Pelodiscus sinensis: one gene and its partner. The protein of the gene in region 2 interacts with the protein of the main gene of each other region in a pairwise test. Links are inferred from orthologs where the notes say so. Each region holds a gene or a part of one and is shown on either strand. Other genes may lie near its edges.

Region 1 (3,748 bases), on a different chromosome or scaffold from region 2:
GTTTAAATTTACATGAAGTACTCTCTCAACAACAGGCTTTTAACACTAAACCTGCAGCTCTCCAAATCCTCTTTGAAACAAAAAGTGACAAGGCAATCCAGGCCAGGTCTGCATAGACAAGATATTAACCTTATTTGTCTTACTGCTAAACCAAAACTACGTTACCCTTTACATTCAAGATTCAGCACACACTATTCTATTTTAGGCTATTTTTTTAAAGGCTGTTAGTCATGTGTCTTAGCAACTAATATCTGAAATGGGTAGCATTTGCAGAATGTAACAGTGATAAATTATTTTCATAGCATAGTGGTAAGCTACTTAAACTATGAAGTAAGACGTTAGGAAAAATATACACCATACCTATACAGTACAGTATTTCACAGATTATGTGGTAAATCTCTCCCTACTAAGCAAGAGAACATTTTAAAACCTGAAAACGGCCTTCAACAAAATTCTCAATGCCTTTCTGAAATTCAATGGTTCACTGTTGGCCTTCACACAGGTTACTCTTCTTCAAGACATTATTCTACTAAATCAAATTTTCCAAGGGTGCCCAGGTATCAGCATGCATCTATAACTGCACTTCTCCACAGGTCTCAGCAACTTGGTCCTGCATAGCAAGAATCCTCCCTTTATGAATCAGGATCAATTTTATTCCTATGCAAAAACACTATTTAACATGTAAAAACTGCTTCTTCCATTGTAAATAGAACCACTGTGACTTAGGAGAGCATTATCTTTTCCTCTGCTCTGCCACTGACTTACAGTGAGGCTTTGGGCTGGTCCCTTCCTTGCCTCAGTTTCCCCTACTGCACAATAATGCTGCTTACTTTCTGAACAGCTTTCAGATGTACAGTGAACAGACACTATAAGAGCTAGGGATGTTAAATTTAAATTAAGTGGCTAATTGAATAGTCAATGCAATTTGCATTGACTATTTGATTAGCCCATAAGAGCTACCAATGTAGCTCTGCATTGGTTAATTTGGGTGCAAAGCTCACGGACAATGAAGTTACATTAATACCTAGCTCTTATTAGGCATGTGAATGACTAGTTGACTATCCGATGGGCAAATGCTTATCAGACAGTTGACACACTAGTTGACTAGTCGCTCCCCCCCTTGCTGCCTCTAGCAGAAAGAGGCAGCAAGGGGGGAGAGGAAGAGGAGGGGGTTGCTACACTTCAAAGGCAAAAGCACTGAGGGAAGCACGGGGCCAGCAGGGTCCCCCACTAGCCCTGGGCTCCCCACATAGCCCCCCCCCCAGGCAATACCATGCGGGGGGGGGAAAATCACTCCACATAGCCCCCCCCAGGCAATACCATGCCGGGGGGGGGGGGAAATCACTCCACATAGCCCCCCCCAGGCAATACCATGCCGGGGGGGGGGGAAATCACTCCACATAGCCCCCCCCAGGCAATACCATGCCGGGGGGGGGGAAATCACTCCACATAGCCCCCCCCAGGCAATACCATGCCGGGGGGGGGGGAAATCACTCCACATAGCCCCCCCCAGGCAATACCATGCGGGGGGGATCACTCCACATAGCCCCCCCAGGCAATACCATGGGGGGGGGGGAATCACTCCACATAGCCCCCCCCCAGGCAATACCATGCGGGGGGGGGGGAAAATCACTCCACATAGCCCCCCCAGGCAATACCATGCGGGGGGGGGGGAAATCACTCCACATAGCCCCCCCCCAGGCAATACCATGCGGGGGGGGGGGAATCACTCCACATAGCCCCCCCCCCAGGCAATACCATGCGGGGGGGGGAATCACTCCACATAGCCCCCCCCCAGGCAATACCATGCGGGGGGGGGAATCACTCCACATAGCCCCCCCCAGGCAATACCATGCCGGGGGGGGGGGGAAATCACTCCACATAGCCCCCCCAGGCAATACCATGCGGGGGGGGGAATCACTCCACATAGCCCCCCCCAGGCAATACCATGCGGGGGGGGGATCACTCCACATAGCCCCCCCCAGGCAATACCATGGGGGGGGGGGAAATCACTCCACATAGCCCCCCCCCCAGGCAATACCATGCGGGGGGGGGGGAAATCACTCCACATAGCCCCCCCAGGCAATACCATGCGGGGGGGGGGGAATCACTCCACATAGCCCCCCCCCAGGCAATACCATGCGGGGGGGGGGGAATCACTCCACATAGCCCCCCCCAGGCAATACCATGCGGGGGGGGGGGAATCACTCCACATAGCCCCCCCAGGCAATACCATGCGGGGGGGGGGAATCACTCCACATAGCCCCCCCAGGCAATACCATGCGGGGGGGGGGAATCACTCCACATAGCCCCCCCAGGCAATACCATGCGGGGGGGGGGGGAATCACTCCACATAGCCCCCCCAGGCAATACCATGCGGGGGGGGGGATCACTCCACATAGCCCCCCCCAGGCAATCACTCCACATAGCCCCCCCCCAGGCAATACCATGCGGGGGGGGGGGAATCACTCCACATAGCCCCCCCCCAGGCAATACCATGCGGGGGGGGGGATCACTCCACATAGCCCCCCCAGGCAATACCATGCGGGGGGGTCACCCCGCTAGCCCGGGGCCAGGCCCCGCCCACACATGCGGGGGGGGGGTTGGAGGGGCCCCCCCGGTACCTCACGCTCCTCAGTGCGCCGGCTGCGGCCCCCGGCTCGGGCGGGTTTAAAACGGCTCCAGTCTCCCGCCGCGCTCGCGAGAGGGGAGGAGCCGACGAGTTCGAGGCGGGCGGGCGGGCGCGCGAAGGAAAGAGGCGCTCCGAGCCCGCCCCCTTTCCCAGGGCAGCAGAGGCACAGCACGCGGTCGGGCGCGCGAAGAGACACTCCGCTCCCGGGGTGGACGTGGCCAGAGGGGAGCGACTCGGGCGGGCGGGAATGAGTGGAGCAGGGCGGGTGCCCACCTGGGGGCAGGAGGTTGGGGTTGTAGAGCTGCCTGGCCCAGGCTGATTAGGAGTCAGGGCGAGGGAGAACTCAGGTGCTTAATTTCTAACCACCCCCTTCAGCTTTGTGCAATGCCCCCAGCCAGTGGGCAGCCCCCACGCCTCACCCCCCAAGATGAGGTAGCTGGTTAGCCCATGACAAAACAGCAGCAAATAGTCACGCCAGGGGGTGACCAGTGATCCCCGCCTTGCTCCAGTCGACCCAGTGCCTTGCACTCAACCTCTCAGCTGGGCCGTGGCCCACCCCAAGTGCCAGTCCTGTGGCAATGGGAGAATTGCCCCTGGGCATTTCACTCAAACTGGGCCAGCTTCTCCCTCACAGGAGCAAAAAAACTGGCTGGAAACAAGCCCCCATGACATGGGAGACCATCTCTGCTCCTTCAGCCCGTGGGCTCGTTCTTGGGGCAGACCTGGCGTAGCCCATTTTGGCCGGACCGATTCCTGTGTGATCTGCTGCTGCTCCATTGTTACCACTTGGCACCACCCACTTAGGGCACCTCTACACAGCAGGGCTAAAATCTAAACAGGCTACCCAAATAGGCTTATTTCAAATGTGGGCACGTCTACACAGCGCTTATTTCGAAATAGGTTTACATACAATGAGGTTTACAGAAGTTGGAGTAAGAAGTCCATTATTTCAAATTTATTTTGAAATAATGGGCTTGCTGTGTAGACGCGCAATACGTTATTTCGGAATAATGCTGCTGTGTAGACGTACCCTTAGGTATTCTGAAGGAAAAACAGAAATAGGAACCAAGAAGGCCGTTTTAGCTGGCATTTAGATTATCTTTTCTAATCAGGAGT
Region 2 (3,748 bases):
ATTTCTTATCCAAAACTCTTGGGTGGTTTTGCAAAGTACTATTAAATAACTTCCGCTTTCAATTCCAGATATATCTGCTTTTCCATTATGTGTAAGGTGAGCCATTTGGCCTTTACTTATCTGAAATTGGGGTTATGGGACTTAATGTAAAGTGAATTTACTACTCAAACAATGTGTTATGTTGTGTCGCAAATACTCCCACTCCAGTATTCATGGATATTGTCATTTGCAAGGATCTCAAGAACATATCGCCCCATGAATAGCGAGGACTTCTTGTGATCACAATTGTATTCTGTATTGTAATTTAAATCAATATGTATTAAAATGTAGAAAAATGCCAAAAATTTAATACATTTCAATTGGTATTCTATAGTTTAACAGTGTGATTAACTAAAAAATAAATTCTGCTTGGTCACAATTCTAATCAAGAGTTAACTGCAACTGACAGCTGTAGTAATTAATGTTACTTCCAAAACAAAAATATCCCCAATTTTTTAAAAAAATTATAAAATCTTTTAGCTGTCTCCATCACAAAGCCATACACAAACATCATATACCTCAATATGCAATCAACGTTTGCTTTTGTTGCATCCTACTTAGAACCATCATTTGGTGTTTTGTCTACCTGGTTGCAAACTCATTGGGACCAGGCACTTTATCTCCATATTTTCAGGTAAAGCTCTGCATAAGGAATGAGACTAATAGTATTTTACATGCCATTTGGACTGAATTAACCCCGTCAGTGAGAAGTAGAGGGCAATTCTCTCTGGAGTTAGGCTGCATCCCCAGATCACCTGCCAAAGGGATTCTAGTCAGCAGAAAGATAAATGTTAAAACATACATTTTAAAATGTAATTCTGCTCTCAGGTGCTTTGGGGGCCCGACTCTGATGACCCTGCTGCCCCACTTTGCTCCACTCTCCCCATGCACACCACAGGAGTTAATGAGCCTTCCGCCTCCCACAGTCCCAGATCAGCTGCCCCCCATCTCCTCCACAGGTGAGCCCTCTCCCTCATGCCTGAGCTCCTATTGGCTCGTTCCACCGTTTCCCCGCCCAGTTCCTCGCAGAGCGCGGCGGTGGCCGGGCTGTTGTCCCTCCTGCCGGCAGGGGTCGCCCTCTTGAGACGCGGCAGCCCTGAGGCCCCTCCCAGTGGGCTGCGGTGTTTCCGGACCCTGTCACGTGACAGGAAGAGGTCGACGCCGCGGTTCTGCGTTGCGGCAGCCGCGGCCGGATCTCTGCGAACGGTGGCGTTAGATGGGTCGGAGGCGGAGCCGCTGCGGCCTAAGGAGGAGCCACCACCCCAGCCCCTGCGCCCGCCTGCGCGGCCCCGCGGTAAGGGAGGGGGGCGTCGGCTCCGGTAGCCCCGCTGTGCACAGAGAGCTGCGAGCATCCCTCGCGCGGAGCCCAGCGGCCCCGCCTGCGCCTGGCTCCCGGCTCTGCAGGGGCAGCCCCGCGCGCTGTGGCCTGACCCCCCCCCCCCCGGCCCCTCTCTCCCTCCTCGCCATCGGCGGCGGCCACGGGCATCACGCCGACCGGGCCCCGCGGCGTCACACGTGTCTCCCGGCACCGAGCGGGGGCCAAGGGGCGCGGTCCCGTCGGGCCAGGCTGGGAGCGCCCCGCGGGAAACGCGTCAGCAAATGGGGTAAAACCCGCAGCGCCCGCGACGTGGGTTCAATGTCTCTCTCGAATAGACCGGAGTGTGTGTTGCCCGGGATCTCGGAGGCGTTTAGGTGCAGTCTCGGGAGGGGGGACTGGGTCTGTGCTGGGACAGGGGCCAGTCCTGCTGCCTGCTCCGTGCCGGATACAGGACATTCACCCTGGGAGTTCAGCATATGTAGCTGTCGTGGCGAGGCATACGTTGAAAGCTTGGAACGGGCTGTTCATTATAATCTGTATAATCTCTTCTGCATATATTGCAGATAATACTGACACCAGAGACAAATAGGACTAGCATATGTATGATGTAGGGGACCTAAGCACAACTAACAGTCAGTGCTAACTCTTAAGTTGCTCTAGTTATGTTATTTAGGGGTAACACTGGAGACCTGTAGTTAAGTTGATCTAAACTTAACTAGTATGGAGGCCACTAGTTAAATTACATAATTTACTTAACTTAAATTGTAACTTAGATTGATTTACAGCAGGTGGGAGCCAATACACTCAGGGAGCCAGCTTTTAAGTTGGCCCCCTGTGCATGCTGTACAGAGCTGCCTCCCACCCACCTGCACTCATGGCTCCCACAGAAGCAGCAGCATGGGTTAGGGCAGCCAGGAGCTGGTTCTCATGGGGAGTCTGCTTAAAAGTGGGCTCTCTGCAGGCACTGGCTCCCGCCTCCTTTCCCCACATGTAAAAGTGTACCTGCTAAAATGTTCTGCTAGTACACAATTATACAAATAACACATTTTAACATCCCTAATGTACACATTGTTCTGGTAGCTTTGGTAGCGTCTAAGGAAAATGTTTTGCTGGGTTTAATCTGTGTTGTGATATCAGTACAGCCTATGGCAGTGTTTCCTCAATGGTGTTCTGTGGAACCTCGGGGTTCAAAGTGAAAATAAGGGTTCTGCAAGAAAATATTGTCATTTTTGTTTTTAAATATTTGCAATTAAACTAAATGGTGATCTCATGACCTTGTTTAGCATTTGTTTATTATTATCCTTACTTATTTGTGGTCTCCTTTTTCAGTTCCATATATAAGACTCTTATTAGGGGTTCTGCAAAATTCTTTCAAGTTTAAAAGGGTTCTGTGGCCAAATAAAATTGGGAAACATTGGTCTACGGCATCTCACTAGACACTTATGTAATCTCATGTACATCTTGAAATAGAGAAGGAGACAGCTTCTAAGAATATTTAGGTAAGATGATTATGGAAGAGAAGCAGGTACTGATTGCTACAGTGTGTGCAATTAGAGAGAAATGAATGGTATTGCAGATTATTCGTATTACTCTTTTATTACTTTATCTGCCTTTGAGCCAGGGTCATGGGTGAAGACTGCATTGTGCTAGGTGCTACACAAACACAGTACTGAAAGATAATTCTTGGCCAAAGGAGCTTGTACTCTAAAGACAAGACATGAGACAACATATGGATTCAAACAGATGGAGTACAAGGAGACAGAGACAATATTGGTCGTAAACAGTGGTCACAGCATATGAGCCCCCCTATCATCAAGGGTGATGGTTTGCTTTTTTTGAGGGGTGGGAGCATCACAGCGAGAGAAAGTATTAAGGAGGGATATGAAGGAAGATAAGTGGATAGCTTTTTGAATGTTTATGGTGAGCTCTTCTCAAGTACAAGTGAGAGTATGAGAGAGAGCACAAAAGTGCTTATTTGAAAACTAACAAGTGAATTATGAAGGCTGACCTCATGGGCCAATTGGAGGTGATGATCAGTAGCCAATGAAAGACAAGCAAGGTGCGGATTGTCTATGAAAGTACTTGAAAGTGAAAATGAGCAGTTTAATGTTTGATATCCTAAAGGAGGGGGAGCTAGTGGAGGGATGCAAAGAGGGATAACATTGTTGAAGTTGCAATGCTGCATTGTCTCATTTAGCTGTGTTAGGTTCATAGTACTTACAGTGAACTGCAGCAAAAATTGCAGAGGCTATAAGATCAAATGGCAAATGTGTAGGGGCATATTACAGTCACTATTTAGTAGTAGTTAGGAATCTTCAACCCCACCTTTCAAAAGTGGCACTCTTTGTTACTTTCAAGACAAAGAAGATAAAACAGTTACTCACCTTTTAT

The links.
Region 1: the proteins of EXOC1 (region 2) and SFR1 interact in a two-hybrid assay, tested with the Homo sapiens proteins (2 studies listed by BioGRID and IntAct). The link is inferred for Pelodiscus sinensis from reciprocal best matches to the Homo sapiens genes EXOC1 and SFR1.

Annotation. Positions count from the first base shown.
Region 1 is NC_134718.1:70,960,971-70,964,718, forward strand, and holds the start of SFR1 (swi5-dependent recombination DNA repair protein 1 homolog), read right to left. Parts: upstream 2,723-3,748; 5' UTR 2,625-2,722; intron 1,248-2,624; exon of another isoform or gene 1-1,247. UniProt on the Homo sapiens protein: Component of the SWI5-SFR1 complex, a complex required for double-strand break repair via homologous recombination. Acts as a transcriptional modulator for ESR1.
Region 2 is NC_134715.1:84,576,399-84,580,146, reverse strand, and holds the start of EXOC1 (exocyst complex component 1), read left to right. Parts: upstream 1-1,117; 5' UTR 1,118-1,333; intron 1,334-3,748.